Cricetulus griseus: one gene and its partners. The protein of the gene in region 4 interacts with the protein of the main gene of each other region in a pairwise test. Links are inferred from orthologs where the notes say so. Each region holds a gene or a part of one and is shown on either strand. Other genes may lie near its edges. The genes, in order: Suv39h2, Stk4, Akt1, ras association domain-containing protein 1 and Map2k3.

Region 1 (6,492 bases), on a different chromosome or scaffold from region 4:
GGCAAAGACAGGGAAAAAACGGTGACACCTTTGAAAGACTAAAGACAGATAACTAGTGGTGAACGTATATTGAATGCTAAAGGATTATATTCATAGAGGCAGAAGGCCGGAGTCTTCAGCTGAATGTGAGAAAGGGGAGAGAAAAAGGTCCAAAATAGTAATAAATATTAGGAAAACCACTGCTATGAATAAGAAAAAAAAAAAAGCAACAGGTTAAAATCTTGTTAAGTAGAACTAAGCAATATGAGAATGTAGAAATTGGGTTTATTTGGGTTTTTGCTGGTGTGTCCTGTGTTGTGTCCTGTTTCCCGTCCCATGTCCGTCTGCCCCCTCCCACCCCCAGGGTGGAGAGATTGTTGGGACTTTATGCATGCAGAGTAAATACTCTGCCGTTGACCTGTAGTTCCCTTTAACAGCCTTTTTAGAAATAAATTATAAAGAGTCTAAGTTGCCCAGGATGGGCTTGAACTTGTTGTGAGTCTCCTATTTAGCTGTGCAACCAGGCACAGTTTAAAAGTATGTTTTAGGGCTGGAGAGATGGCTCAGAGGTTAAGAGCACTGACTACTCTTCCAGAGGTCCTGAGTTCAATTCCCAGCAACCACATGGTGGTTCACAACCATCCATTATGAGATCTGGTGCCCTCTTCCAGTGTGCAGATATACATGGAAACAGAATGTTGTATACATAATAAATAAAATCTTTAAAAAAAGTATGTTTTAATAGAGCTAATGCATATGTTCAGATGATATTCTCAGCTAGGCTGATCAGTTTAGGGTGCTGGGAGTGTTGGTTGAGAGGCTAGACTAAGATTTCTGCAGGGGAAGACAATGCTACCACAGGAAAACAGGCATTCAAAAGAAGAAATGGACTTACTGAAAGGCTCAGCAAAGATGGGGGAAAAATTACATTAAATAGGATTCTTGATTGTTTATCTGCAAGAACTGAGATTAATGGCCAGTTCTCAGAGGAAGCTACAAGTAAATGAATTACAAAAAAATACAATTACAGGCTTTAGATCAAAGAGCTTCTTAGAACAACTCATTTTAAGATTAATGAAGGGAAGCACAAAGCAATTAAGTTAGTTTGCTGAAGTTGTAAGATATGAAACAAAGGTTTGAAATGACCATGACAGCCAACCATTTTATCATGCCATAACTTATAACACAGAGTTTGGCAGGAAATATAAATTGTGATGCTTCTGGAGGACATTCACTAATTCTACAGTTGGCTTGTAACCTCAGGTTCCTTCCAGGTGATTATGGGAAATATGATCCAGGAACAACATGAATTACAGTGAAAGTCAATCTGACATAAAACATTTGCTCTGGAAATCCATATGGAGATAGATAATCAAGAGTTGGATGTAGGATGATATAAATACCCTAAATATTCTAATGCAAGAGCACTTTATACTTCATAATCCCTCAGTGTTATTCAACAAAAATGATGACAATGCACAAAAGTCTATGACTTACAACCTTAAACAGAAAGAAGAGCTTTGTTTATTCTTAAGTCTATTTTTATGCTAGAGAAACATGAAATACTGCAGTGTGAATAGGTCTCTTTCAAGGGGCTAGATATTGCCTTACCTTTACTACCTTGTAGTCACACAAGTACTCCACCTCATAATTGTTTAGATTCCTTTTGGTGATTCCAATCGATTTACATGTGAGCTTTTCTTTTCTACATAATTCCTGAAGAGTATCAAGTGAAACTAGGCAAGGCACACACCAGGCTACAATAAGAAAATAGAATTCTTTACTAATAAAATAGCTACTAGGATGAAACAAAAACTTAAAAACTTCCCAACTGACAATTTTATAGTAAGAAACGAACATGACAAGAAGCCAATTATGTGTGTTTGAGAAAAAAGTTACGTGATAAAGATCTACTTTTGATGAATTGAACTTCTATCCTATTGTTCTATTGGCAAAGGCTAATTCTTGCTTGGCCACTTAAAATATTTCATGTCTAAGTTTACTTAAGATTACTATAAATGCAAAAATGAAAAGAGCTAAATTTTTTTTACTGTTCCATTATATTCTACACAGAATGTAACTGTTCTCTTAATAAACAGCTAAGACATATTATTAGAAATGTATCTAAAATATATTCTAAAACAATCACAATTTAAAAGTAACCTTTGCTTCTTTTAATCACACAGTAAGATTTTAAATCTGAAATATAGTTCTGTAGTTAAATCCATATCCTACTTTGCCCATTTCAGGAATACCACAAGTCTCATTTATTTTGCCCATGGTGAAATGTATTATCAACATGCATAAAATAGAAACATCTACTTTTCTATTTTATATTGTATATTGGGCTTTATAATGCCATTTCCTGGACTGTTTAAAGCCAGCAAGCAGTTACAAAACAGAAAACTCAAAGTAAATTATCCATAAACAAGAAAGTCAGACATACTAACAATAACCTTACACAGGCCAGAAATGAACTGTGTTCCATCCCAAATTTAAAATATAACTGCACAAATGATGTCTAGAAAATGTAAAACTTCACTGTACGTCTAATAGGGGAATCTAATACTAGATGATCAAAAGCCCTCCACCCTACTTGTTGGTGGGCCACCTAGCTACACAACTTTAGGAAGGGCTCAAGCTTTCTGGGTATCACATTCACTGAAAAAAAAAAAAAGAAAAGAAAAGAAAAGAAAAGAAAAAGTGAGAGTGGTGAAAAGAAGTGACCAAACAAAATGTATCATTAGTTCATCATGCTGTATTTAATAGTTCTTCAAGGTAGTAGGCAAACGTTTTGAGGTAGATTTCAGGGACAGGAGAACCTGACTGTTTTAACTTCCCCACATCCCTTCATCATCCTCCCCCGTTAGGACTTCATTAAAGGAAATTGTTAAGCATCATTTCCCCACTCCAATCAATGGAAAAGACTCGTATTTCTGGCACTCGTAAAAGGCAAAGTCTTTTCCTCAAATTTGCCAAAATACATTGTTTAGGTGTGGTGGTTTGGGGGTAGGACAGGTATAAAAACCGTCTTCTTAATCGCTTCCATCCAAAAATCTTAAGGCTGTTTTGTGTAAGGCTAATCTCCTTATGTTAATCATCTGTAAAGGAGAGACCTGTTGGTTATTATGTACCCAAGGTGTTTGTTTTAAATTTTTTACTCCTAGTTGAGAATCCAAAAACACAACCCTATAGCGGAGAGTGGTGTTGAATTCGGTAACACACGTATTCGAATGAAAATGTCATAATGACGACCATTATGTGTAAGTACGACGCATCTCTCAACAGAAATGCTACATTTTGAGCATTTCGGGATTTTTTTTTTCTTTTTTAATCTGCAAACCCTTGGTTTACAAAATTCCACAGCCTATAATGATGGAGAAAAAAAAGTTTCATTGTCCGGATTAGTTTATGACATCCCGCTTATAAAATCCTTCCACCACACCCCACCCCCGCAACACCTCAAGGAAGTCGAGTGACGGGGATAATAAAGTGTCACCATCTGAGTGGAGCAGAGGAAAAAGCTAGCTGGAGAACAACCTTTTTTTTTTTTTTTCACTCCAGAATGCTTTACTTTCAACACACACGCCGCCCCCCCGCACACCCACATAAATAACCCACAAGTTCCAGCCGGGCCCCCCCAAAGTTTCCAGGAGCTCAGGGCTGTGTGTGCAGACATCTACTTTCGAGGGGAGACACTTCGCAGCGGTGCCAGGCCGGCTCGTACGCGGGCAGCGCACCTCAGCCCGGCTCCCACCGCGCGAAGGTGGCGACCGCTAGGGCAGCGGCGCGCGTGCTTCCCGGCTCACCCTTCAGAGAGGCGGGGCGCGCACACTCGCCACCGAGGACCCGGGCCCGCGGGACTTTCGGAACCACGCTCGCACGGAGCCGGCGCGTCCCGGGCCCGTAGCCCGCCGCCAGCGTACGGCGCTCGGGGTGTCCGCTCGGCGGCGTCCCGCCCACATCGCCGCCGTCCGGCTGGGCTCGGGCCTCGGGAACGGCCCTGGCGGCCGGTGACACCGCTCTCCAGTCTCACCTCTCGGTGCCTCGGCTCCGGCCGCCGCCATCTTGCGGAGCTTTCATTCAAACTGGCGCGGTCAGCCCGAAGAGCTCAGCTGGCCAGACGCCCCGCCCCGGCCCGCGAGGGACTCCAGAGATGGGAGGCTGGAAGCAGTGTGGCGTCCTGACGTCAGTGGAGGTTGACCCCAGCCGTAGTAGCCACTGCGCATGCGCGGCACGTTGGGGGGGGCACAAAGGGGCGGGGTCACAACTAGCTCCTGCCGACAGGCCCCGCCCCTCCTGGTATGGTCCTCGCTTTGACTCTAAAGGCTGCATGCCAGGATTCCCTCCCTGTTCGGTGCTCTGAGTCTCGTCCCAAAGGCATGGCACGCACGTTATAAGATGCAAAATGTGCTGTGTGGGTTAGAGTGCACAGATAGCTACTTTCCTACTCTTGTTCCTTAGCGCTTGAACCCAAGCAAGCTTTTCCTTTCACTCCCCGCCTCTGCAGAGCAGGATCTCAAAATTGGATGCAGGTGGCCTCACTTTGGATCTAAGTGGTCTGTTTGGATCACACAAGGAGAGTCTGCTGAGTTGATATGGCCGTGCAGCAGCTGGATCCAAAGGAAGGCGCTGAGAGTTGTCAAAATAAAACCAACCCAGCCAACAGCTGAGCTTAATTAAAGCAAACTTACAAGGTACATTTACAACTAGGACTTACTTTATCCTCCTTAACAGCTTTAAGCTTTGCTCAGTTTTTAGCCATTTACACTCAGGGAGAATTGGGCCACTTATCATTTTCACACCATTGTGAATCTTGAAAGTTGTAAGGGAACCATTATACACAAAAGCCTTCTGTAATTCCATTGGTAAGTCACGTCAGTGCTAATAGCAAACGCACACTGCCTGTCTCCTCTCTATTTTCATTGCTATTACTGTTATCCACACCATCATTTCTCAGTCAAAGAAGTCTAACTGCTTTGACCTCTGCTATTGCTCCCCTTGTAGCCACTTCCCATGGAGCTAAAGTAGCTTTAAAACATAAAGTGAAACATAACCCTTCTCCAACTTTAAGTACTTCACCGCATAGCACATCTTCCGGTGCCTATGAGACCACCAGTGATTAGAAGTCTGTTTTTCTCACTTGCTTTGAACCATTCTCCCTTTTGCCCACTATGTTCTATGGCTTTTCAAATTTTCATATACTCAACTATTATACTTACACAATTCAAATACAACACACACAATTCAAATATAATAGGCATATTCAAAAATATTTTCATGTGTATCTCCTATGTGCCAGGCACCTGCTAAACAAGAAAGGAAACAGTGTCCTCTTGGAGTCTTTTTGGGGACAGGGCTCAAACTTGCTTTGTATGTGGGAATCACCTTGACTTCCTGGTCTTGCTTCCACCTTGGTGTGCTGGGGCCACAGGTGTGAGCCGACACTCCCTGCTCTAAATAAACACTTTAACCTGGAAATCGCTGTCTAGCCCAAAGGGCAAACTCTCCTCCGTTTCATGTGGCTATCTTCTTATTAGCTAGGTTTTAACTCAAATGTTACTTCTTCTGAGAGGCCTCTAAAGGCACTCTGTCTCTATCCCTGCTTTAAAAGCATTTATCAAAATTTGTGTCTGTAGAATTGAAAGAATATTTTTAGTCTTACTAGGTTTTAATAAGACTTTAAAAAAGGAAGTTGGGGGCAGAGGATAGCTGGGCAGAAAAGTGCTTTTCTGATATATCCAGGGCTTAGGGTTTGATCACAACACTGAGATTTTTTTTTGTTTGTTTGTATTTTGAGTTGGGTTTTTGCTGTGTTAACAGCCCTGGCTGTTCTGGAACTCACTCTATAGACCAGGCCGGTCTCGAACTCACAAGGATTGGCCTGCCTTTGCCTCATGAGTCCTGGGATTAAAGGCGCATGCCACTATTGCCTGGCTTGAAAATTTTTTTTATAAGTTACAATTTTATAAATTAAGTGTTTGCTTTGTTTATCTCATCAGGAATCCCATCAGTTTGGAGGCATAGAGTAGACAGAGTAGACCCAGCCATTTCAGCAGCCATCAGTGTCTATATCTATTCTAGCACATCAATTCTCAGAGTATGGAAGAGTGGATCTGAGACCCTTCCAGAAATCCATGAGCACAAAGCTGCAGTCTTACACTGTGTTACAACTTTGTATCCTGGTAAACCAGCTCTACAAGTGTTCTGTGATGTTTACACAATAGCCAGCCACAAAACACAATTCTCAGACATGTCCTTGTCACAAAATGGCACCAAGGAAGCCTTGTATTTGCCCTCTTCGTTTTTTCTCATTGGTGTACTGGAGTTTTCCAGAATTCATAGAACTGGTATCATATACTGACAGAGGAAAACATATATCAAAATGTAACTGTTTCCTGGTTAAGCTGGATATTAAGAGACTTAAAAAAATATACAATATCACACTTGCTGCTAAATCTTTTGCTTTGAAAGTTATTTTTATAAAATGTTATTCCTATGAATTACTTTTTA
Region 2 (5,726 bases), on a different chromosome or scaffold from region 4:
AGAATCACATATCAGATATTTACATTACGATTCATAACAGTAGCGAAATTACAGTTATGAAGTAGCAATGGGATAATTTTATGGCTGGGGGTCACCACAATGTGAGGGGCTGTATTAAAGGGTTGCAGCTTTAGGAAAGTTGAGAACCAATGGGCTAGAGTGACTGTGTGCTGGACCCGGGGCTTCACATCAGACCACAGGATGACTCTGCAGATCACACCCAAATCCTGTACAAAATCCATCCAGCTCTCACTTAACTCCCAGCATAGCAAACAACACACATTCAGGAGTAAGCTGTGGACAAAAGGATCCAGGATGGGCAAGACCCAGCTTGTCCTTCTGGCATTACTTTCTTTTACTTTTATTCTACGATTTAAATTTGCATAATGAGAGCTAATTATGAAGGAAAGCATCAAAAAACGAGAATAAAACTGAAACCCAATGGAAGCAGTTCAACATTAGAAATGCAGACAACCAGAGGGCCACCTCAGTAGCACCATTAACACTCTAAAAAGGAGATGTGCCTATAAGTGAGCGTGAACAGCAATTCCTAAAAGAACATAATCAGGAATTTAAAATCTCTACAGGTGGTCAGACCTTAACCCAATCCATCATGACTTCTTTAGCTTTTAAATACAGCTAACATCTACTTAGATTTAATTATACAGTAATTTTCTGCTTAAAGTAAACTTTTCCCCCTCTCATGGGCTCTTTTCTGGTTTCCCCACCCCATGTGGATAGCACTTAGAAAACATCAGAAGCTAAGATCCACCTCAGAACAGACACACATCAGAGACAGCAACCTCACTTAACACCATTATCGTCGTTCTACCAGGATCATTTTTTTGAGACAGGTTCTATCATGATAAATATTTAAAGTTTTTATATCTTTCTGTGGTCATATTTCTTCAAATTTAAACAGTATTCTAGCCCCCTGCAGCTAGAGGCTGTCACACTAAATAGTTTTTAACATAGAGCAAAATAATTAAGTATATAAACTAATAAACTAGTATTAAGATATCAATAGGTACAGAAATCACCAATATAGTTAATTCTGGACTGATGAAGGGGCAGAAAGAACTTGGTGCTGCACACAAAGCCTGCAGCTTCAATTTTAAATCAACAAATTAGTCAAGGTTTTGACTTCTCTTAAATTATTTATTTCATTTTTGAGCTTATAATTATATCATCTCCTCCCTTCTTTTCCTCTCCAAAGCTTCCCAGTCTTTGCTCTCTCTCAAATTCATGGCCTCTTTTTTCATTGTTGTTACATTCATATATGTTATACACACACACACACACACACACACACACACACACACACACATATATATAAATATTCCTAATGCATAAATATAACCTCTTCCATATGTATAATGTTACTTGTATACATGTTTTCAGGGCTGACCATTTGGTACTATATATATTACATATATATATATATATATATATATATATATATATTATATATATTATAAATATATATTATGTTAGAACACTACTCTTGGCTAAAGAACTTGCTACTGTCTAATAAAGAAAACGTACAAATTCTCAATAACATAAATTAAGAAAAGGAAACAATGATATGACACAAAATTTATAACTTGAGTTTCAAAACAGTCCCATCTTATAACTTATGTAATACTTCATAATTTATAGTATACTTTTGCATACTTAAGATAATTTTTACAACATTGCAAATACTTAATATGGGGATGCCCATTCCCATTCTTACATTAAAAACGAAACCACCCAAGAGCTAAAATTTCCCATTCCACAATCTACACAGAAACTAGAGTTGTTTTTCAAATTGCATGTCAGATGACTCACTTACTTTCTTAGAATCTAGACATGTTCCTTCTGTACCTGGAATAACACTTAGCCACAGTACCCTGACCTACAAGACCCAAAGCCATCAAGCCTGCCCACCTGTCTAACTCAAGACAGACCTCCTCAAGTTCCCTTTGTCTGGCTGCACTTCTAACACCAAACGTACCGAACACACTGCAGTCTCCGAGTCTTCTTCACACTGGCTGGTTCCTGCCTCAGTGTCCCTTCAGGAGATGCTGCTCATGCTGCTCTGCCTTCCAAGATTCTTGACCACATTCCTATCACTGCCCTTACTAATTGTCTCCAGAGTGTTTCTTGTTACCTTGCATTTCCTCTCTAACTGCCACCTGCTGGCTTTTACTTCCCTACTAGAAGGTGTGCTGCCATAAGAGCGCCAATCACCATATGTTGTGGTCTCTTTTACTTCCTACTGGATCCCTAAAGCCTACAGCAGTATTCTGCAACTGAAAACTATAATCCATGACTCTTAGGTCTGACCCTACAACCTCAGGCATAACAAATACTCTTTTATAATAGGCTTATTCCCTGTTCAACAGCAAGTAGAAGAAAACCACTCTGTGGCTAACTTGATAGGAAGACAAATTCAAAAGTAAACGTTTAAAACTCATTCTAGAGGTAGAGAGAGATGACTCAGCAATTAAGAGAACATTCTGCTCTTCCTGAAGACTTGATTTCCACCACCCACACTGTGGGGCTCATAATCGCCTGTAACTCCAGCAGCAGGGTAGGCAAGACCCAACCTCTATGGGTGCCTATATTCACATACACAAACCTACTCAAACACATAACTTTTAAAAAACAAGGACTTTTAAAAGTCATTCTAGAATAGCCAGGCATGGTAAGGAGAATGACATAAGAGGAGTGTGAGTTCATAGCCAGCCTGGACTACACTGTCAGTTCCAGGTTACTCTTCACCATGAAATCCCGTCTCAAAAAAGTGAAAATTCATCCCCAAACCATGATTTGATAATAAAAAGTAAACAAAAATCACTGGAATGAGTCAATAACAAATTGTCACATTTAAGAGAGAATTGAGCATGGTGCCACACCCCTGTGGTCCCAGCACTTGGGCTTGGTAGGGGTAAGACACCCTGTGATTCTATCCCTCAGGTTTGGGATGGGGAGGGTAACACAGCCTGTGATCCTAGCACTTGGGCTGGAACAGAAGGACCAAAAGTAAAAGAGCATACTGAGAGTCTGTCTTTGAGATGGGAGGGAGGTAAGTAAAAAGACCAGAGACCCAAGGAAAAGGAGGAATTCTCTACGTGTAGCAGCAGCATGTGAATAAAAGGCCTGAGGAAAAAAAAATGACAAAAAGACCAGGCCAGCAGCACCTACTAGGAGGTACACTTACCGTCTTGTTTCGTAACCGAATGATATCCGACACAGAGCCAGCCCCACAGTACTCCATAACGATCCACAGGTCTGTGTTCTTAAAGTAGCTGCCATAATATTTGACTACATGAGGGCTGGAGAGAAACACAATACAAATTAGTAGAACACCCTTCAAACATTTCAATTCATTCTGTTCAATGATGGAAAGTAACTTCTCATCTCAAAAGAAAATGAATTGGACTGGAGAGATGGCTCAGCGGTTAAGAGCACTGACTGCTCTTCCAGAGGTCCTGAGTTCAATTCCCAGCAACCACATGGTGGCTCACAACCATCCATTATGAGATCTGATGGCCTCTTCCGGTGTGCAGATATACACGGAAGCAGAATGTTGTATACATAATAAATAAATAAAATCTTTTTAAAAAAGGTTAGAAATGTTTATAAAAAAAAAAATGAATTATTTCTAGGTAGAACTAACACAAGCAATCTCCTGATAAAAACATGAAATGGAATCAATTTTCCTAAGAGTAATAACATAAATTCAAAACAAGAAAACAGTATTAAGTGTATAATTTATCCTCAAAAAATAATCACAAGCTGGGCGTTGGTGGTGCACACCTTTAATCCCAGCACTCGGGAGGCAGAGACAGGCGGATCTCTGTAAGTTCGAGGCCAGCCTGGTCTACAGAGTGAGTTCCAGGACAGGCTCCAAAGCTACACAGAGAAACCCTGTCTCGAAACCCCCCACCCCAAAAAAAAAAAAAAAAAAAATCACAGAGTCTCAAAATATTAGCTACTGACATGGTAAAAGAGAAATTAGATACAATTTTAATGACCATCCAAAATGAGGGAACTTAAATAACAGCACCACAAGTCCATGGAACATGTTAGAGGAATGTTTAATAAATAACTTAATATATCCTGGGACAGGAGACTTGGCTTAGCTGTGAAGAGCACTTCCTGATCTTCCAGAGGACCTGGGGTTCAGTCTCCAGCACTCCCACTGTCTGTAACTCCAGTTCTAGGAGATCTGATGCCCTCTTCTATCCTCACGCACCAGGCATTCAAGTGGTACACAGACATACATGTGACAAAACACCCATACACAAAAAGAGTGTGTGTGTGTGTGTGTGTGTGTGTGTGTGTGTCTGTGTGTGTGTGTGTGTCTGTGTGTGTGTGTCTGTGTGTGTGTGTGTGTGTGTGTGTGTGTGTGTGTCTGTGTGTGTGTGTATCTGTGTGTGTGTGTGTCTGTGTGCACTCGCTCATCCTATTTACAAGAGAGAGAAGGGTAAGCTATAAAACAATCACAGTTAAATCCCCACAGAGACATGGAAAGATATACCAAGAGATATATAATGATGATGATTTTACCAAAATGAAAAGCAATCTCTTTTTCTTTTTTCTAAAAAGTCATAGTATAATTGGGAGTAACAAAATCATCACTATATAATATAAAGAGAAAAATGTTTATTATCAAAACTGGAACTTTAGGCCTTAAATTTGGAGACACCAAATAAGAAATATCTGAGAAGTCAAGCACCCCAGTAAAATGAAAACTCTGTTTAACAATTTGTTGCATTAACAACTGGACTGCTGTTGGAAACCAGGTTGCCTAGCAACCAAAGATATTAAAACTACACTGACCTCCTGGACTTTCCATTTCAAATGCCCCTTCATTCTCGGGACATATACCAGTGACAAGGACAGAAGGAAAACACAGCACATAAAATGAACATTAGTGCAAGCAATACAGCTCACAATAATCCCGTGTGCTCTCTTCCCTCGCCTCCTGTAGTCACTTTCTCTATTGTGCAAACACACTGTTGGAATATGTTCTATGCAGTCTTGTACTGTCAGCTAGATTTCCTGAACTATACAAGCCTGGCCCATGAACTCCCAAAAATTGGAGAAAAATCACTGATATTCTCTCCAGCTGCTTTAATAAACCAGGCAAATGTCCCCGAAACCCTCCCCTTACTCAAAAGACAGTGACACAAAAATACATCAAAGAAGCAAACAAACAAAACTCTCAGAACACAAGGACTCTGCCATGTCTTTCTTTTTTTCTTAGAAGGCTTAACCCAGAAGGATCTTCAAAATGTCAATTCTTAGCACATGATACTCTTAGGTTTGGATTCCAGCACCCACATGACAGCTCACAACTGTCTATAACTCCATTTCCAGGGGATCTGACACTATCTTCTGGCCTCCACAGTCTTCAGGCACATGTGGTCCACATATATGCATACATGCAGGCATACACATAAAAAAGTAAAAATAGCCAGATGGTGGCGGTGCACCCCTTTAATCCCAGCACTCAGGAGACAGAGACAAACTCTGTGAGTTTGATACCAGCCTGGTCTACAGAGCAAGTTCCAGGACAAGCTCCAAAGCTATAGCGGAACCCTGTCTTAGAAAACCAAAAAAAAAAAGGTAAAAAATAAATCTTTAAAAAAAAAACAAAAAACACTTCAGTTAGAAGCATTTCCATACTGTTTATATATAGTCCCAATTTGCCAAGTAAAAGAGTTTGAGTAAAG
Region 3 (6,453 bases), on a different chromosome or scaffold from region 4:
CAAGCCGGCAAAGCAGGCCCTGCACAGGGCCTCAGCCTCTGGCCAAGAGGCCCCAGGAGGAGGCCATGACCTCCATACTATGGGAAAAGCTGGGCCTGCACACTCCTCCTGTAGCAGGCCTAGAGCCCCAAGGTGGGGAGGTGCGGCTCCTGTCCAGCCGGCCTGGACACAACAAGCACTCTTTGATATGGCCTCAAAGCAGCCTACTAGGGCAGTACAGCCGTCTCCCTCCACACACCCAGTTCCACACCCAGTGGTTGGGCAGACCCAGGCCCAGCTCTACGTCTCCCACAGAGCAGGGACTGACCTCGTTTGTGCAGCCAGCCCTCCTTCACAATGGCTACGTCGTTCATGGTATCCGTGGCCCCCAGAGACCGGGGTAACCCAGGGATGCTCAGTGTATCTTCTCAGCAGGCTGAGCCCAGCCGGCCTGGCCGCAGCGTCTAGAAAAAGCCAAGAAGGTATGTGAGGAAAGGCCCTGCTTGGGGTCTCAGCTTTCATGAGCCCCGGCCACAATTACCCACGTCCCTTTATGCGATCTACCCCTTTCTGGTTCCCAGGTTCCCTCCTCACCCTTACTCTGCCAGCCTGCCTGACTTCTCTCGAAACACAGCAGTATAAGATCCATCTCCAGTAGATGCTGTGCCCAGATCCGGGCCTGGTAGTCTGGGATGCAAGGCTGCGGCCAACCCGAACCTCCCTGGCCTCTGCTGGGACACACTCCACGCCCAGACCTTTCCTGAGAGGCAGCTGCTGAGTTTGCTACCCTAGCAAACAGTCCACCTCCTCCAGGCAGCACTGCTGGCTTCTGCTGGGCCCCACACTAGTGAGGGGTGCTCGTTCACTGTCCTTGTCCCTGCGTTCTCACCACCCCTACAGCCAAGGATGCCTAATGCAGAATGCAGGGCTCCTGCCTGCTCGGACTAGGAACACAGGAGTGTAGGCATTCAGAGGCACAGGTGGAGTAGGTAATGGATATAAAGCAAAGCCCAGAGTCTGAAGGGGAAACATTAAAAACCTCCCCAGGTGAAACCCCAGACCCTCTCAAACACAGCACCCTGCTCCCCTGAAGGTGTTTCATTCATTGGGCTAGCATGTACCAGGCGTCTATGGGTTTGCCAAACCTTCACTCTATATCAGGGACAAAGAGACTTCTAGGCAGCCCACAGTTACAGCATTCAGCCCACACAAGAGGCAGGCAACATACAAAAACCTAGGGTCCTGCAGTGACCCACCAGAGAGTCAGAGTCAAAGCACACTTTGCCAGTTCCCCCTGGCACTGCTTCTCTGCTGGAGGGACTCCTGGGCATCCCTCAAGGCCCTGTTCTCATGTCACCAAGTCTGGGAAAGTGCATTTGGACACTTTTTTTTTTCCCAGCAAGCCTATGCTGTCCCTCCACCTGGGGTTCCTGTGGACAGGCCCAGGAAAGACCAGAAGACCACTGTGGAATAGATCCCAACTTGGGTCTGTCTACTACAGCTGACCCAGACAACCCCCTAGGTCACCTCTCTAGACCAGAAGGCACAAGCTAGCACCCAGAGTCACTGTCACTTTGCCTTGTCTGGAGCTAAATGTGGAACAAAAGGAAGGCCCTGCTGTGTGCCAAATGCCAAATGCCAGAGGAGGAAAGACCACACTTGGCTTAAGAAGGAAAACATCCTACCCTTAGCAAGCAGGTGGCAATGGAAAGCCAGGATGAAAAAGATAAGCCAAGAAGGAACCCCAGATGATGGCTATCCAAGTGGGTGTGGCCTGGAGGTAGAGGGTTGGACTGGAAGACCTCTCTCTGGATGTACCCCCACCCCCACCCAGACCCGAGGTCTGCTGGTGACAGTCAGCTGTCCAGAGCCATGTAAAAATAAGTTCATATGCACAGCGATGTTAACCAGTGTCCACATCAATCAGCCCTGCGCATGGGACCTTCTTCCCTCCACGACCCTGGAGCGCCTTGCCATAAGAGCATATGGTTGCTATTGTTAAGTCTGAAGAGTTCAGCCCCTCTGGGACACTGGGCCCACACGCCCAGCTGGGGCCCCAAGGCGACTCGCCCTTCACTTGAGTGATGGCTCTAAGCAGTCAAGGCTAGCCACCTGGGGCAAGACCAGAGGCCTGGGGATGGGGGGCGGGGGGTGAAGGAGTTTGGCCACAGGGCAGAGCAAGGTTCGGCCACCACCTAACTTAGAAACCAGTCCTCTAGACAAATCCATCAGCTCGGCCAGTATCCGGGATCCCAAAGGTCGAGCCCACGCGTCCTCCAGGCCCCAGCACCTCCAGAAACCACCTACTCCAGGAAGCAGTTTCCGGGCCCAGGAGGGCTAGCAGTCCTTTGTGGGCTAGCCTGGGCACAGTGCCACCGCGCACAACTTTCTGTCCGTGGGAAATGAGTTCTCCTTCCCAGGGCCCTCCCACCACACGCAGGCCGCGGGGCGAGCCTTTCTCCTACCCTCGCTGGCCGAGTGCCCAGACAGCCCCAGGCCCCGGGGCGCACCGGCCCCCACTGCGCGCACGCCAGCAGCGCCCCTCTCCCGCGCGCGGCCTGGCCCCGCGGGGCGGCCACCCAAGGTCACGCGGCGGCCGCCCCGCACTCTCTCCGGCGTGGGCCTCCTGCGCGATCCGCCCGGCCCGCCGCGCGCTCAGGCCTCGCTCGGCCAACAGGCGGGCGCGGCCGGGAACAAAGCGGGGTGGCCGCGGCCCGGAACAGGGCGCGGCGCGGGCACTCACCCGGCCGCGCGCGTGCGGGCGACGGGGCCTAGCCGGCCGCGGCCTCGGGCGCCCGCCGCTCCGCATCCCGCGGGCGGGCGCTGGGCGGGGCCGGCTGGAGGCAGCGGCGGCCGGCGCGCGCGCTGCTGGCCGGGTCTAGGCCGCCGCGGTGCCGGCCGCCGGGCGCTGCTCGGTCCGCTCCGCCTGTCGGGACTCGCGTGCGCTGCCGCGCTGGGCCGCCGCCCGCCGCCCGCCGCCGCTTCGGTGCTGCCGCCCGCCGCCGCCGCCGCCGCCGGCCCGCCTTCTCCCCGCCCCGCGCCGCGCCGCCCCGCCCACATCCGCCTCCGCCGCCCCGGGCGCCCCCGGCGCGGCCGCGGCCAGGGCGAGGCGCCCCGTGAGCGCGAGCGCGGCCCCGCAGGCGCCGCCCTCGGGTGGCCCCGAGCCAGGGCCACGCGGGTAACGGAGCCCCGCCGCCGCAGATCCAGAGCCCGGGCCCTGGCCCAGGTTTCCCCGTCGCTGGACGACCGGGCACTTGTCGGTCCGGCTCTCCAGACCCCACGGGGCGGGCGTGCGGAGCGAGCGGATCGCTCTGACTTTCCCAAGAGGCCCAACTGTCCCCTTGTTGGGAGCCGGGCGAGCCGGGCCACCGGTGTCCTAAAGGCCACACACGCCACCCAGAAAGGAAGGCTGCTGGGGGCTCATTCAACCCGGGACTGTCGGCCAAGGAAACTGACGGGCACCCTGCGGTGACAGGGAGACGGGGACACACCTGGACATCCAGGGGGGCCAGTGTGCTGTTGGGGGCAGACCCCGGGGTAGAGCTCAAGTCAGCCAAGACCTCGCTGTGCACTCAGATGGGCGAGGCGCGGGAGGGGGGCGGGAGGACGGGGGGGGGCGGTTCCTTATGGTGTCCCGGAATTGGAGAGTCAAGGTGGCCTCTAACCCACCCTCTGCTCTCCCCCTTCAGCCTGCCCCAGCAGTTCCTGCCCCAGCAGAGCCCCTCCCTCGTCCCTGAGGCCCGAACTGATAATAACCCTTTTGTGAGTTTACCTCCAGGTCTTTGGTATTTTTTCCGAGGGGGCATTTTGTTGTTGTTGTTTTGTTTTGTTTTGTTTTTAATCCAAGGGTCAGAGTTCACCTGGAGTGTAAACAGGATAGATTTACTCCATGCTAGCGCTAGTCCAGAATGGAGTCGCTCCTTCTCTGCCTCGGGGACTGACTTATGAAGCGAACCCCTCGCCGGGAAAACTGTCCTCTCGGCGGGGGGCACAACTCCTGGGGCGGGAGCGGTGGGGGGTAGGGGGTCTGTTCTGCTTGTCTGCAGCACAGCTGCCCCAGCTCTGAGCACCTCCAGGGCGCTAAGCCCGGCGGGTCTGTGCTGCTCCAGCTGTATCCCTGACCTGAGGGTTTCCCTCGGAGACTGAGCAAATCCATCACTCACCCAGCAAACTTTCACCCCAGGCCCCCTGGTCCTCTTCCCCTGCTTCCCCAATCCCCGTGCTGGGCAGTGGGGAGTGGCCACTGCGAGCCAGCAGGGCGCCCTCTTGTGGAACACATGGCAATTGGAGACTGTTCTCCAAGGACTGACATCTTCTGGGTGCTCTTTCTGGAAGCCACTGTTGCAGCACTCCCACCTGTGATGAGCCGTTTCTAGGCAGTACCCGTCCCTACCTTCTTTGTGTCTCTATCTTCCCCGTGCCCAGGGTCTTCCTGCGGACGGAGGGCGCAAGGCCCTCTTCTGGGCCCACACTTTAGCCACACCCCTCTTGGGCCTCCTAGGCAGAGCCACAGACCAGAAGCGAGCCTTACCGCGACTTGCCAGTGATATGCTCTGCAGCCAGATGTCTCCAACAAAAACAGTGGCCCTGACCCCCTCCCCAGGCACAGAGGTGGTCTTCCCTGTCACCTCCTGCAGCTGGCAGTTGGGTAGGGACTCAAGTGCCTGAGCCCTGCGCTAAGAGGTCTGGGCATCGGCTGCAGGGTGGGACCCCAAAGCTGGAGAGGTTTGCTTGTACCCTGGACTGGGACTTTGACAGCCTCCTGTCATCTCTATGCCACAGACCACTGGCTGGTGGAGCAGGATCTTGGAGTGCCAAGGTTCTCACACAGATGATGGAGCGGCCGGGGCAATATGGGGTGACCCCGTGGGCCTGCCAGGTCCCGCAGGCAGAAGCTCGCTGTCTTTGTACTCAACTTCTCTGCCCTAAAAACCATGTAGGGCAAGCAAGGGGCCAGGATTTGGGGCACTGCTCAATGCCCAACGTGGAGGAAGAGGGACAAGGGGGCTGGTTGGTGTCACCAACATCCAGCCATCATTTTCTCAAAAACCATTCTGTGGCAGGCCAAGGATCCATCCATCGGTGTACACAGAAGCCCCCCGGCAAAGAAACAGGGGTGCACCTTGCCTGACAACCTTTGACTGCCTACACAGGGCTAAACAGGAATAGAGAAAGGGTTGCAGGTCAGGAGGGACTAGGGAGGACGACTTTAGCTAAAGGGTGACCAACCAGCACACAATCAGCAACGGATGAGGACTTTGAGAGGAAAGAACATTCCAGAACTAAAGGCCTATCACCTTATAGTATTTCACTCTCCAAAGTTAATTTTCATAGATCCTAGATTTCCATATTAATGGGGGTTATTAAGGCTATAGGACAGTGCCTGTCAACCTTCGGATCTCAAAAAGACTCATTTACAGGGGTCACCCAAGGCCATCAGAAAACAGATATTTATATTACAATTTATAATAGCAAAGCTGTGCAGTAGCCACAGAAATAATTTTATGGCTTGGGATCACCAAGACATGAACTGTATTAAAGGGTCTCAACATCAGGAAAGGTTGAGAACCCCATGATACGGGGTTCCTGCTGAGCCAGAGTAGGGGGTAGTCAAAGGAGGGAACTGGCCCTCCTCAGGCAAGGCTCCTAGGTTGGGGACAGCCGAGTTCTGCAGCCCCTCAGCTGTGCTGTGTCTGGGTTAATGTAGCGTGCCTCTAGGTTCCTTGGGGGCAGTTACCAGATTTAGGAAATAACTCATATAACCAGTCAAATTTGCATTTCAGATACACTTTTTTTTTCCAGGACAGGAAGTTGAAACAGGGCCTTGCCATGTAGCTCAGGCTGGTCTAGAACTCAAAATACCCCTGCTTCGGCCTCCGTTTAGTATAACGATGTGTTTTTTTTTTTTTTCCCTGTAGAATCTTGGCCCTCCAGGGACTCTGGCAGCCCCATCAGCTTTGAACAGGACCCTGGTGGTTCTCTCCAATGGCCAGGAGCCCCCACCTCATACCCAGGCACTCTGTTCTGCAAGTCTAAGGAGCAAGCCCCCTACACACAGAATGCCTTTGGCTATTCTACCCAAACACCTGACCTCTGCCCTGTCCACTGTAACCCAGCCCACTGGGGACACCCTGCTTGGGACAAGACCCCACTTGACTTCTATCATCCTGGGTGATGCCCACTCAACATTCTTGGTCCCTGGGCTTCTAGCAAATGCAAGGTGGGCCTAGTCCCATAGGAACCCTGGCCCTGCAATTTGGTACTATGTGAGTCCTCCCCCGCCCCAGATCCCTAAATGAGAGCACCTAATTGGCAGGCTTGTGAAGCTGGCCCGAGCAATGTCTCAAGTAACTTCAAACCCCCTCAGTCAATGATAGCCCTCCACATGCACCCTTGGGAGAGAAGCCTTCCCAAGGCATCCATCAGTGCACCCTCAAGCCCTCCAAACCCAGAGCTCTATTCTTGCCATTGCCT
Region 4 (6,471 bases):
GGTGGCCCGGACTGGCTGTGGTGACCCATATGAGGAAGAACGGTCCCAGGACAGTACCCCTATGCAAGTAAGTTAAGGTTTCCTGGAGTTGGTAAAACCTCAAAGGGAGTCCTCGCAGGCCTCCACAGGCAGGGGCGGATACTGTGTGCCTGTGCCCCCACCACAGGAGCTGCAGAAACAGGCTGAGATGATGGAATTTGAGATCTCACTGAAGGCCCTCTCGGTACTTCGCTACATCACAGACTGCGTGGATAGGTGGGCCACCCACCAGGGCCTGGGGCAAACAATAAAGGGCTGCCCCACTTGGCCTGTAGCTTCTGCTGACCCTACCCCTTCTCCCGCCTCCCTCTAGCCTCTCCCCGAGTACCTTGAACCGCATGCTCAGAACTCACAACTTGCCCTGCCTCCTGGTGGAGCTGCTGGAGCACAGTCCCTGGTGCCGGCGGGAAGGAGGTAAGGCCTTCCCCCACCTGCCTAAGACCTAACTGGCTGCTTCCAGAACATCCTTCAGGGTTAATGGAAGTGGACAGCCGCACAGTGCGAACATTGAGGATACCAAGGTGGTCTGGATTTTTGACTCTGAAGCAGACAAGTCCCGTGGACTCACCTTGTTTGACAAGTCTGGCCGCCCAGGCTTCCTGTTCTCAACCCTCCAATCCACACACTCAAAGAGAATGCAATGCCTGCGTCCAGTGAGCTGGTTCTCCTGCCTTCTCCCCCACCCCACCCCCAGGCAAACTGCAGCAATTTGAGAATGGCCGCTGGCAGACAGTGCCCCCCTCAGAGCAGCAAAGGCTAAATAAGCTGGATGGGCAAGTGTGGATCACCCTGTATAACCTACTGCTCAGCCCTGAGGCCCAAGCCCGATACTGCCTTACAAGCTTTGTTAAGGGACAGCTTCTTAAGGTGAGGAGCTCAATGGCTCTACCCATCCCCCACTGCCACCACCACTACCCTGCCTCACCCCCATTGTATCCCTGCCTGTCCCTGTCCTCTTTCCACAACTTGGACTTCTTGTGACATGGGAACTGGTGAGACATAAACCTTCCAAGTACACCCAACCCAACTTGGGGACTCCCTGTCTCTTGACCCTCTGGCCAGGACTTGTTTCCCAATGGCCTTCCCCGGATGCCTTGCAGCTTCAGGCCTTCCTCACGGATACACTTCTTGACCAGCTGCCCAACCTTGCGGACCTGAAGGGTTTCCTGGCCCACCTGGCCCTGGCTGAAACCCAGCCCCCTAAGAAGGACCTGGTGTTGGAACAGGTAGGCACCTCGAAGGTTAGTTGCTCGGGACCATGATCCGCTTTGCCAGTTCCTTCCTCTCCTCTCTATTACATTCTCTTAGATCCCGGAAATCTGGAATCAGCTAGAGCGAGAGAACAAAGGCAAATGGCAGGCTATTGCCAAGCACCAGCTGCAGCATGTATTCAGCCCCTCAGAGAAGGACCTTCGCCGGCAGGCCCAGAGGTAAGGTGTGCTGCGTGGCTCAAGACGGGTGCATAGGACATAGAAGGCATGGCCATGGCGGGAGGGAGTGCGTCTGTGCCCCTACCTGTCATAGTCAGATCTTCTTGGCCCCTCCCCCAGGTGGGCTGAAACCTACAGGCTGGATGTCCTAGAGGCAATAGCTCCAGAGAGACCCCACTGTGCTTACTGCCAAGCAGAGGCCTCCAAGCGCTGCTCCAGATGCCAGAGTGTGTGGTATTGCTGCAGGTAAGGGACCCCCGAACCTTAATCCCCCTAAGTTCCAACCCTGAGTCCTCCCACAAGCACTGTCATCCTCACGCTGCCCACACCCCTGCAGGGATTGCCAAGTCAAGCACTGGGAGAAGCACGGAAAGACATGTGTTCTAGCAGCCCAAGGTGACAGAGCCAAGTGAAGGCTGCAGCTTCTGACGGCCAGAATGTGACTCTGAGACTCGGTAGTTCTGCCTGGCTCCTGTCAGACCTCAATTTCTCTGGTGGTGAGCACAGCTGAGCCAAGTAGCGCTGCAAACCACCACCACCCGACAAACACACAAGCAAAGGCTCTTCGCTTCCTGCCCCACCCCACGAATATGTAAAGAAGAGAACCAGGCCTCAGCATCAGCAAACTGGCAGACAGGGTTGGGGGACGTACGAAAGGGCCGGATGTGCAGACCCTTTTCCTTTATCACAGTAAAGGGGACACGAAACTCATCAGTGTGGAGCTTTGCAGTCGTCGTTGGGGGCTGGGGAGGGGAGCTGGGGCAAGGACTGAAGGAAAGCCTGGGAAGGGGCTCTTGGAAAGCGCCCGCCCCTGTGCCCCGCCCCGCCCACAAGTGCACACTGTGGCCTCTCCTCGGTTTCCATTGCGTTCTCCTCCTCTCTTTCCCGCCGCCCTGCCTTGATCCTGGGGGCGGTGCCGAAGTGGCGGCCCCGCCCTGCGGCCTCGCCCGCTAGCGCCCAGTCCGCTAGAGTCCCGGCCTGACCGGGCCATGTCGGCAGAGCCAGAGCTCATTGAGCTACGGGAGCTGGCACCGTCTGGGCGCATCGGCCCCGGCCGGACCCGGCTGGAGCGTGCCAACGCTCTGCGCATCGCGCCGTGCACAGCACGCAATCCCTCGCAGCAGCACGTCCCGGGGCGCGGCCACCGCTTCCAGCCTGCGGGTCCCGCCACGCACACGTGGTGCGACCTCTGTGGAGACTTCATCTGGGGCGTCGTGCGCAAGGGCCTACAGTGCGCGCGTGAGTAGCAGCCCCACACAGCCGGCGATCACGGAACGGGAGGTCAAAGGCAGGAGCACCATGGCTGCGGGTCAAGTGGCAGCGGAGGGGGTCAGCAGCGATGATCCTGCAGACCAGGTCCCGTTACCTTGCCCCATCAGGGAGCGTGTTTGAGAAAGTGGTTTATCACGGTGTCACACTTCGTCCGTGCCTGGCGCACAGGTGGGCACAGGCAGATGTCTGTAAATAACAAGGTGCTGGTTCCAAGCTCTTTAAAGCGCCAGAACCCTTGAAAAGTCTTTGTGCCTACTGTGCCCTGTGCCTATATTCCCAGGTCCTCCTCTTCCAAAGGATTGGCACTGTGTTCCCCTCCAGATTCTTGGGTGACTTCACCCACATATGACAGGGGGCCAGAAAAAGTTACCTTGGTTGGGCTCCTTGTAAGTAGGAACCTTGTTGAGTCTTTTAGTCGAGGTTTGAGTCAGTGATCCAGAGGCTAAAACATGAACACAACCACACGCATAGTGGTCCTTCTGACCTGGGGATTAGCCGCAAACGGAAGTTAGACTCACCCGGGATACTTTATACCCTCCCATCGCCTTATGTCTAGACCTCTCAGGCTTCTTGAGTCCATTATTGAAAGTGGACCTTAGGTATCGAGGGCTTTGTTGTCGTTCCCTTTTGTTGTTGTTGTTTTGAGACAGGGTCTCACTATGCAGCCCTGGCTGGCCTGCAACTCTCTATTCAGACCAGGGTGAAACAGAGGTCCACCTGCCTCTGCTTCCCAAATTCCCATGTGTAGATGGAGCTGAGAATCAGCGCTTCGAGCCATATGGGAACTTAAGGGTGGGCTGTAGGCCTGTGCATGCCTAGAGCTCATTCATTCACTACCCGAGTATGTCACAGGTTCAGCTAGTGAAGAACAGTCATTTGTGACAGAATACCACATAGAAGCCTGGGCTGTGATACTGCAACATTTTCAGATAGAAACAAAGTTGCTCTGGAGGTGAGAAACCAGACAGTTTGGATGTCTGACAAGAGGTTGGTAAGGGAATCAAGAATGTGTAGGGTTTTGCTTCAAATAACTAGATGGACAGTGGTAACTTTTGCTGAGATAGGAACCCAGGGGTGAGTGGCAGTGGAAGAAAAGTGAAATTTTGGTGATGTACGTTTGAAATCTTTATTAGGCATTAAAGTGAAGGCACTACATGTAGGATTTGTCCTAAAGAGGCAAATCAGGTCCGCCTTGGATCTGGATCAGGTGAGTGTAGACAGAGCTGGGACAGTATCCAGATGAGGAACCTGGACATCAATTATTAGACCTGGGAGTCGGAACTGATGAAGGGGCTAGCAAGGAGCTACAGAGAAGCGACAAGAAACAGCTAGTGAGTGCTGTCCCTGGGAGTCAAAGGGAGCAAGCAACACAGATTTAGGACGGAACGACCCTGCTAACGTATACAGAGGGCAAAACATTAGATGTGTGCTTTGGGGATTGGCACACATCTGTAATCTTGGCACTTGGAGCAGTTGGAGGCAGGAGGATCTCCCGACTTCAAGGTTACCATTTGAGGTTAACCTGAACTACATGAGACCCTTTCTCAGAAAACAAAATAGGCTTGTGTAAACAAGTGAAGAGGCAGATGACAAATAGAGGAAGTCGTAAATTAAACACTTTTGTTTTCAAGTTAATGGCAAAGTGAAGTAGTAGCTCTGCGGTAGATAGGCAAACACAAGTGTTGAGCAGGGTAACAGCCTGAGGCCTTCCAGGCAGTTTCCAAACGTGCTTCCAGCATCTGTGTAGCAGTGGGCGGCAACCGCGTTTGAGAAAAAGCCAGTGGAGCCCAAATCTGTCGGGCAGAGGCTCCCTCAGTCTGTGGGTCACTTGGCCAAGCTCCTCCGCCTCACCGTCAGCCCTTTCTGCAGACTGCAAGTTCACCTGCCATTACCGTTGTCGTGCGCTCGTCTGCCTGGACTGCTGCGGGCCCCGAGACCTGGGCTGGGATCCCGCACTGGAAAGGGACACGAACGTGGTGAGCTCGGGGTCGGGGTGGGGGGAGTGTGGGCGGGGAGGGGACCTGGGGCTCGTCAGCCCTCCCTCAGGGGAGGTACCAGGCGCCGCACACAACGAACCTCCCAATTACCGATTTCCCGGCATCAGGGAGTCCACTTCTGCTTGTGGGTCTGTCAGGAGCTGACTCCACGCAAACACCACGGCCCACAAGCCATTGGCCGCGAAGTCGCGCCCTGGCACGCTACACGCGCACTTCTCACACCCCGCTTCCGGCCCTGAGGCAACGGCGGTGCACATGCGCGCGCGCACAGACACTTCCCTCCCTCTGGGAGGCGGGGCCGAGTGGAGATGCCTCAGAGATGAGGTCATTCCTCGGGGTGTAGCGTTGTGTCCCCGCCCCTCGCCCCTCCCACCATCGCCCCCCCCGCCGTACCATCAGCTCCAGATTCTGGTTGTCTAGCCCTAACGGTCACCGCGCGTTGCAGGCCTCTGCGCAAGCGCGTACAGACACGCTCACACGCACGCACGCACGCACGCACGCGCGCGCCCGGGGCGGTGGTTGGAGGCTCCGCACGCAGTGGACCAGGGATCGGGCGGGCAAGGCGATGGGTGAGGCTGAGACGCCTTCCTTCGAAATGACCTGGAGCAGCACGACCAGCAGTGGCTACTGCAGCCAGGAGGACTCGGACTCGGAGCTCGAGCAGTACTTCACGGCGCGGACCTCGCTGGTCCGCAGGCCCCGCCGGGACCAGGTGGGAGCCGCCCCGGGGCGGAGGGGGGTGCGGCCGGCCGGCCAGCCGGCGGGTGAGGGGCGGCCGCTCGAGCCCCGCCCGCCCCTGCCCGCCTCTCCGTGAGCCTCCCGGCGGGGCCACACGGAAACGGCCCCGGGAAATGTGTGTAGGGCTCTGCTCCTGGTTAAGCCGGGGTCCAGCGCGCTGGAACTGAGTACCCGGGCTTCCCTGGCTTGCGGTCACAGACCGGTTGAGCCAGGGCAAGCAGCTGCGAAGCTTGGGTGGACCCCAGGCGGGCGTTATTCACCCATGACTAAAGCCAGCCTCAGCCCAAACCCGCATCTTGATTTCGCATTTGGGCGCTCCTACTCCCTCCCTGGGGGAAATAAGGAAGTGGAGGAGGAGTCCGCCGGGAAGTGAGAAGTTTGTTTGGGAGGGGACCCTGTCCCTTCCATTTTCAGTCTTGGATCAGCCAGTAAAGTCCCCAGCCATTGCTGGGCCAACTCTGACACCAGATGCTGGGATGTAGACAATTTTCCGATCTTCCTTAACTTTGCTGGGGGGGGGTGCATAGTCAGATAGATGATCTTTGCCTTGGACTTTAAGCATTAGGAGCGGGAAGACTAACTGTAAAGTGTACTACCAGGGCAGCTGAATCTCTCTTAGAGTCTCCTAGATGTGCCACATTATCAGAGACTTTTCTGGGACTGTCGTGGTTGTGACCACCACCCTCAGATAATTTATTCTTGAACCTGAATACCTCAAAAGAGCACAGAGGCTGGGGCATCGGGAGAGTGAGGTGGAGACCGAAGGTTAGTAAACTTAGCAGCAGCGAAGTAGAATTCCTTATTTGAGCCAAAAAAAAAAAAAAAAATGGAGTTGTCTGTGGTGGTGGTGTAGGTGAGATTTTGCTACAGATTTTTTTATAGATGGGCTGCTACTTGACACCCAAAAAACTTTAGTCCAGACTGTAGATTCAGTGTGGGCCCCTGGGACTGTCTCCGTGCCACGCAGCCTGAGTCATCTTCTCTTATGGAAAGGT
Region 5 (4,579 bases), on a different chromosome or scaffold from region 4:
AGCTGACTCCTCTTCAAGAGGCAACAGCATCTGCAGGGGGTACACAGGCCCCTCCAAATTCATCCTTTGGGCGGAGGCCTGAGACCCTGGGAGCAGCAACAGCAGAGGCACTGTAAGGCCCATGTGGGCCTGGCTGGAAGCCCCCTGAGGTCTGATTCTTTGGCACTTGGGAGAGCTAGTTGCCAAGCCAGACAGGAACAACCCCCTCAATTCCTCCTGGAATGCCCAGGACCAGAATGGCAGTAGCTTATGGCTGTAGGTAAGTGCTGCCCCAGCAGAGGGATACGGGATGCTGGCAGACCAGTGAGATCCCAGGCCGGTCCCCTATGAATCCTCTCCCAGGATCTCCTTCACAAAGGCAGCAATGTCTGTCTTCTTAGTTTTGTGCAAGGTGAAGAAAGGGTGTTCCTGGTAGGAAACAGAGGCACCAATTTCTGGGGGTGAGGGGTACAGGAGCAGGTATAAAGGGGAAGTCCCTCCCCCAAAGCCTTATCCACCCCAGAATGGTTCTCCTGCCTGGCCAACTTCCTGCTGGTCCTTCTAGGACCACTACCCCTAGAAGCCCTCCAAAACTATCAGATCTTGAGGCGCTGTCTCACCCTCCTGCAGTAGTCCCCCACCATACAAACATCTCTTCTCAAGGGAACCAGACCTCTGTTCTACCAGATCCTCTACCCGTCCTTCATCAGCAAAAAGCCAATATCCATCCTTCCAGGCTCAGTTCAAATGGCATCTCCTCTAAGAAGCTTTCTCTGATGCCACAGTGACTCCTCTGCCCTACTGTCACAGCACTGTGCATCTTTCCACATGGCCTGGGTTGAGTGTATGAACAAAGGTGAAACTATAGAAGTGTGTGCAGGAACTAGGCAAGAAGAGCTACCCCTCCACCCTCGATGCAACCCTCTTCCAGACAGCTCCACCCAGCCACTACACAGCACAGGGGGCAGGGCAGGCACTTCCCATGTATACTCACCATCAGCTCCAGGTAGCTCATGCGCTCCGCAGGGTTCTTCCTTAGGCTAGGAAAGAGGGCAGTGAAGCCAGACTCACACGGAGAAAGCAAATCTAGACAGGCTGGGCTTGCGCCCATTAAGCAACATACTCCTGGGGCTCAGAGAAGGAACGAGACTGTCTGGGGGTCTCAAAAAGTGGTTTGGGGTCCATGGGTGCAAACTAGTCTTGTAGCAACTTTCCCTGCCTCTTGGAGTCCAGTTGTCTCCATACTGATCCAGACTATGTCCATGACACCAACCCTGAAACACTCTGCCTAACGATCACATTCTAGATTATCCTTTATCAGAAGGGAAGACTTCAATCAATGGTTCTGGAGCATGAAGGTCCAATCAGAAACTAATCAATGAATCTTGCTACTGGCCTCATCTGCTTTGTTTGTCTCATTTTCTATTGAGAGGCTTTGTTTTGTTCTCTGAGCACCTCTTGACCCACAACATACAAACATTGATTGGTGTGTGTTTCTTCTTAAAAATGTATTTTCTAAATCTCTTTTATAACCCCAGAGTTATTTACAAGAGTCTACTTTTACTTTCTATGTGGTTATTTAGTTATGGTTAGAGAACACAGTCTGTATAATTGCTTTTTTTTTATTCTTTTATAACTTTAAAAACGATTTTTATAAAGCTTCCATGAACATTCTGTAATTTGGTTAAAAAAAAAAAACACTTCTAGGCACCAATAAAAGCAGACTTTATTATGTATTTTAGTCTTCCATAATATATATTATCACACACACACACACTATTCCTTCTTTGAGTCTACTTGATATATCCTTTTCAGGGAAATCTAAACTAAAACCTCCCACTGGGACTCAGGGTTTTGTCCATACTGGCGCTGTCACTACTTCCTACCTTTTGATACCATGTAGCTCAAGGGTTTACATGATGCAGGAGGAAAGGACAAGACCCAGACACTTACCACTGGCTGGTGAAGTCCACAAACTCAGGGGAGAACTTGTCAGCTGGGAGCTGTGGGGATGGTTCCTCCACCACCTGCTTCAGCTGCTGGAACGGTGTCCCCCAAGATTCATAAGGGAATCGCAGAATGGCCATCTCGATCTGCAATAGGGAAAGCAGAGTCAGCAGGCTACAGACATCAGATGACCCAAACTTTGTACCCAGAAGCACAAAGTGGAAGGAACCCAGCCATCCTTCCCCAGCACCCAAGACCAGGCCAGTGGTGCTGTCACTGACTGCCCTCACACCTAGCAGTAGGCCAACTACTGGGATGCCGGTATGAAGGTCCTCTGACCAGGTTAGCAGAGCTAGCTCAGACTAAGTCTAGCCCTAGGCTAGACTAGGTTTGATCACCACTGTCTTTTCAAACAATCTAAAACTGGAAGATTTTCATCTAACAACTTGGGTTCCAGATATTGTGCCAAACATGAGGAGTGGCAGCCACAGATACCTTCCCACAAGGCAGCAGTCAGCAGAGTACCTCACTGTGTCAAGTCCTAGTCCCTAGTGGCCCCGGCTACTCGCTCTCCAATACCTCCCTACCACAGACTTTAGTAGTCAGGGCCACCTATCTGGCTGTTGCTTTTACTAGTGGGGACAACAGAGTCAGACTCTCCTGCATGGATACCTCCTCACTGGTATGGCAGGCTGTAACCACCATAAGGAATAGAAGAGACACCATTCAAAAGAACGCAACTGGCACTAGTTAGAGCACTAAAAACAAGCTCGGAAGGGGCTTTCCTGTCAGTCCCCAGGCCTTTCCAGCCAGCATGAGAACAGCATGGTGGGAGGAGAGTGTGTGTCAGCCTGTGTGCCTGTCCAGAGGACAGAACCATGCAGATTCAGTATTGCCACAGCATTTCCAGAATCTACGGTGGGTCCTCTCTGCAGACTATGAAAGAGAAAGCTCAGTGGCACCCATATACCTAACCAAAAGTACCAGGGCCTGGGCCTCAACCATCTTTTCTGATGATCTTTTTTTCTAAAAAGCTTAGAAAATGATAAATAAAAACTGCCTCAGCAACAAAGATTCATAAGGCATCTATCACAGGAACTTATTTACAAAAAGACTGACCAGCCTCGGGAGCTAGCCCCCCTATAACAGCTGAATATCTGGGAGAGCCATGGAAATGGTGACCCCACTCAGATCAGCACTTGGACAACATTCCTTCCTGGCTGAGAACCGTCCTGAGTGTGACCTGTGTATGTGAGGGTAACCCCTTGTGTTCTGAGACAGAAAATGTGTGTGCCCAGAGCTCCCGAGGCCAAAGCCCACCAAGGGGAATACTATGTGACTGCTCACTGGGATGGCAGCGTTTTAAGTGGAAATGTTGGGCCAAAGACAAATATGAATGGTGGACCTGGAGGAATAGGTTTAGAAAATCTAGAAGACAGCCTAAGCCTTGCTCCTGTTTCTGCAGCCTGAAAAGCTATTGTAAAACCTTGGTCCAGCCTTCAAGATAAAGCCTCCGTAAAAATAACAAAATGTCACCAGGCGGTGGTGGCACACGCCTTTAATCCCAGCACTTGGGAGGAAGAGGCGGGCGGATGGAGGGCAGCCTGGTCTACAAAGCTACACAAAGAAACCCTGTCTCAAAAACAAACAAACAACAACAACAAAAATGTCCTACCTGAAAGTCCTGCAATCAACCATGGGAAGAGTCTCAAAACAACTAGACATGCGGTAACCAAGAAAATGGGCAGCATGTTTTGGTAACTGACCCCTGGTGGTCAGAATGTCTCTTTTTGTTAAAGGTCATTGCAACTAAAGATACATTGTTCTTGCTATATCAAGAATTAAGGTACCAGGGCACTTTCATACACAGGTGCAGTAGAAAAGTGCCCATCTTCAAAGAATTCAACTTCATTGTAACATTGTGCTGGCTAGTTTTATGTCAACTCCACACAAGCTAGAATCATTTGGGAAGAGGGAACCTCAATTAAGAAAAGCCTGTAAGCAAGCTTGAGCATTTTCTTGATTGATGATTGATATGGGAGGCCCCAGCTCACTGCAGGTATTCAGCTCAGCCTCTGGGCTGGTGGTCCTAGGTGATGTAACAAAACAGAGCCAGCAAGCCAGGAGTAGCAAGCCGATAAGCATCCTCCATGGCTTCTACTGTGCTATGCTCCTGACTTCCCTCAGTGAAGGGGTGTGATCTGAGAGGGGTAAGTCAAAATAAACCCTTTCCTCCCCAGGGTGCTTTTGGTTATTGTGTTTTATCACATCAATAGGTGAATTAAAACTTTCTGTGAGGCAGTTCAAGAAGGCAGAGGTCCGTCCCTACACCCTGGACTTAGATTTATCTGTACAACTCAATCCTCATAGCCTGGCCCCTGGCCCTCCCTCCAAGCCAAGGATCCTTTCAGCCTTCACAGGGCCAGGATCCAGAGCCTCACCCTACAGAGCCTAAGCATAGACAAATACAACAGGAGCCTACAGCAACAGGTTCCTGGTGTGGAAGAAAAAAAAAAAAAAACCCTCAATCTTTTTTTTTTTTTTTTTTTTTTGAGTGTTGGGAAGGGTATTGAGACAGTGTCCCTCAAATTCACTATGAAGTTGAGGATAACCTTGAACTCCCTGATCCTTTTGCCTCTGCCTTCCAAAGTAT

The links.
Region 1: the proteins of ras association domain-containing protein 1 (region 4) and Suv39h2 interact in a two-hybrid assay, tested with the Homo sapiens proteins (2 studies listed by BioGRID and IntAct). The link is inferred for Cricetulus griseus from reciprocal best matches to the Homo sapiens genes RASSF1 and SUV39H2.
Region 2: the proteins of ras association domain-containing protein 1 (region 4) and Stk4 interact in binary tests that used the Homo sapiens proteins (3 or more experiments, as listed by UniProt). The link is inferred for Cricetulus griseus from reciprocal best matches to the Homo sapiens genes RASSF1 and STK4.
Region 3: the proteins of ras association domain-containing protein 1 (region 4) and Akt1 interact in a protein complementation assay, tested with the Homo sapiens proteins (2 studies listed by BioGRID and IntAct, with this or other methods). The link is inferred for Cricetulus griseus from reciprocal best matches to the Homo sapiens genes RASSF1 and AKT1.
Region 5: the proteins of ras association domain-containing protein 1 (region 4) and Map2k3 come close enough for resonance energy transfer, tested with the Homo sapiens proteins (2 studies listed by BioGRID). The link is inferred for Cricetulus griseus from reciprocal best matches to the Homo sapiens genes RASSF1 and MAP2K3.

Annotation. Positions count from the first base shown.
Region 1 is NC_048596.1:220,774,115-220,780,606, forward strand, and holds the start of Suv39h2 (histone-lysine N-methyltransferase SUV39H2), read right to left. Parts: upstream 4,173-6,492; 5' UTR 4,047-4,172; coding exon 4,016-4,046; intron 1,737-4,015; coding exon 1,591-1,736; intron 1-1,590. UniProt on the Homo sapiens protein: Histone methyltransferase that specifically trimethylates 'Lys-9' of histone H3 using monomethylated H3 'Lys-9' as substrate.
Region 2 is NC_048599.1:15,427,820-15,433,545, forward strand, and holds part of Stk4 (serine/threonine-protein kinase 4), read right to left. Parts: intron 3,321-5,726; coding exon 3,206-3,320; intron 1-3,205. UniProt on the Homo sapiens protein: Stress-activated, pro-apoptotic kinase which, following caspase-cleavage, enters the nucleus and induces chromatin condensation followed by internucleosomal DNA fragmentation.
Region 3 is NC_048598.1:181,379,430-181,385,882, reverse strand, and holds the start of Akt1 (RAC-alpha serine/threonine-protein kinase), read right to left. Parts: upstream 3,586-6,453; 5' UTR 3,471-3,585; intron 444-3,470; 5' UTR 354-443; coding exon 308-353; intron 1-307. UniProt on the Homo sapiens protein: AKT1 is one of 3 closely related serine/threonine-protein kinases (AKT1, AKT2 and AKT3) called the AKT kinase, and which regulate many processes including metabolism, proliferation, cell survival, growth and angiogenesis.
Region 4 is NC_048597.1:215,731,639-215,738,109, forward strand, and holds the start of ras association domain-containing protein 1, read left to right. Parts: upstream 1-2,422; 5' UTR 2,423-2,458; coding exon 2,459-2,708; intron 2,709-3,853; exon of another isoform or gene 3,854-4,610; coding exon 4,611-4,717; intron 4,718-4,817; exon of another isoform or gene 4,818-5,040; intron 5,041-5,194; exon of another isoform or gene 5,195-5,303; coding exon of another isoform or gene 5,304-5,450; intron 5,451-6,471. Other genes in the region: Zmynd10 (zinc finger MYND domain-containing protein 10), read left to right, coding at 1-67, 167-255, 353-453, 734-906, 1,140-1,265, 1,348-1,469, 1,590-1,715, 1,807-1,882. UniProt on the Homo sapiens protein: Potential tumor suppressor. Required for death receptor-dependent apoptosis. Mediates activation of STK3/MST2 and STK4/MST1 during Fas-induced apoptosis by preventing their dephosphorylation.
Region 5 is NC_048600.1:74,937,041-74,941,619, reverse strand, and holds part of Map2k3 (dual specificity mitogen-activated protein kinase kinase 3), read right to left. Parts: intron 2,073-4,579; coding exon 1,933-2,072; intron 1,020-1,932; coding exon 974-1,019; intron 409-973; coding exon 325-408; 3' UTR 1-324. UniProt on the Homo sapiens protein: Dual specificity kinase. Is activated by cytokines and environmental stress in vivo. Catalyzes the concomitant phosphorylation of a threonine and a tyrosine residue in the MAP kinase p38.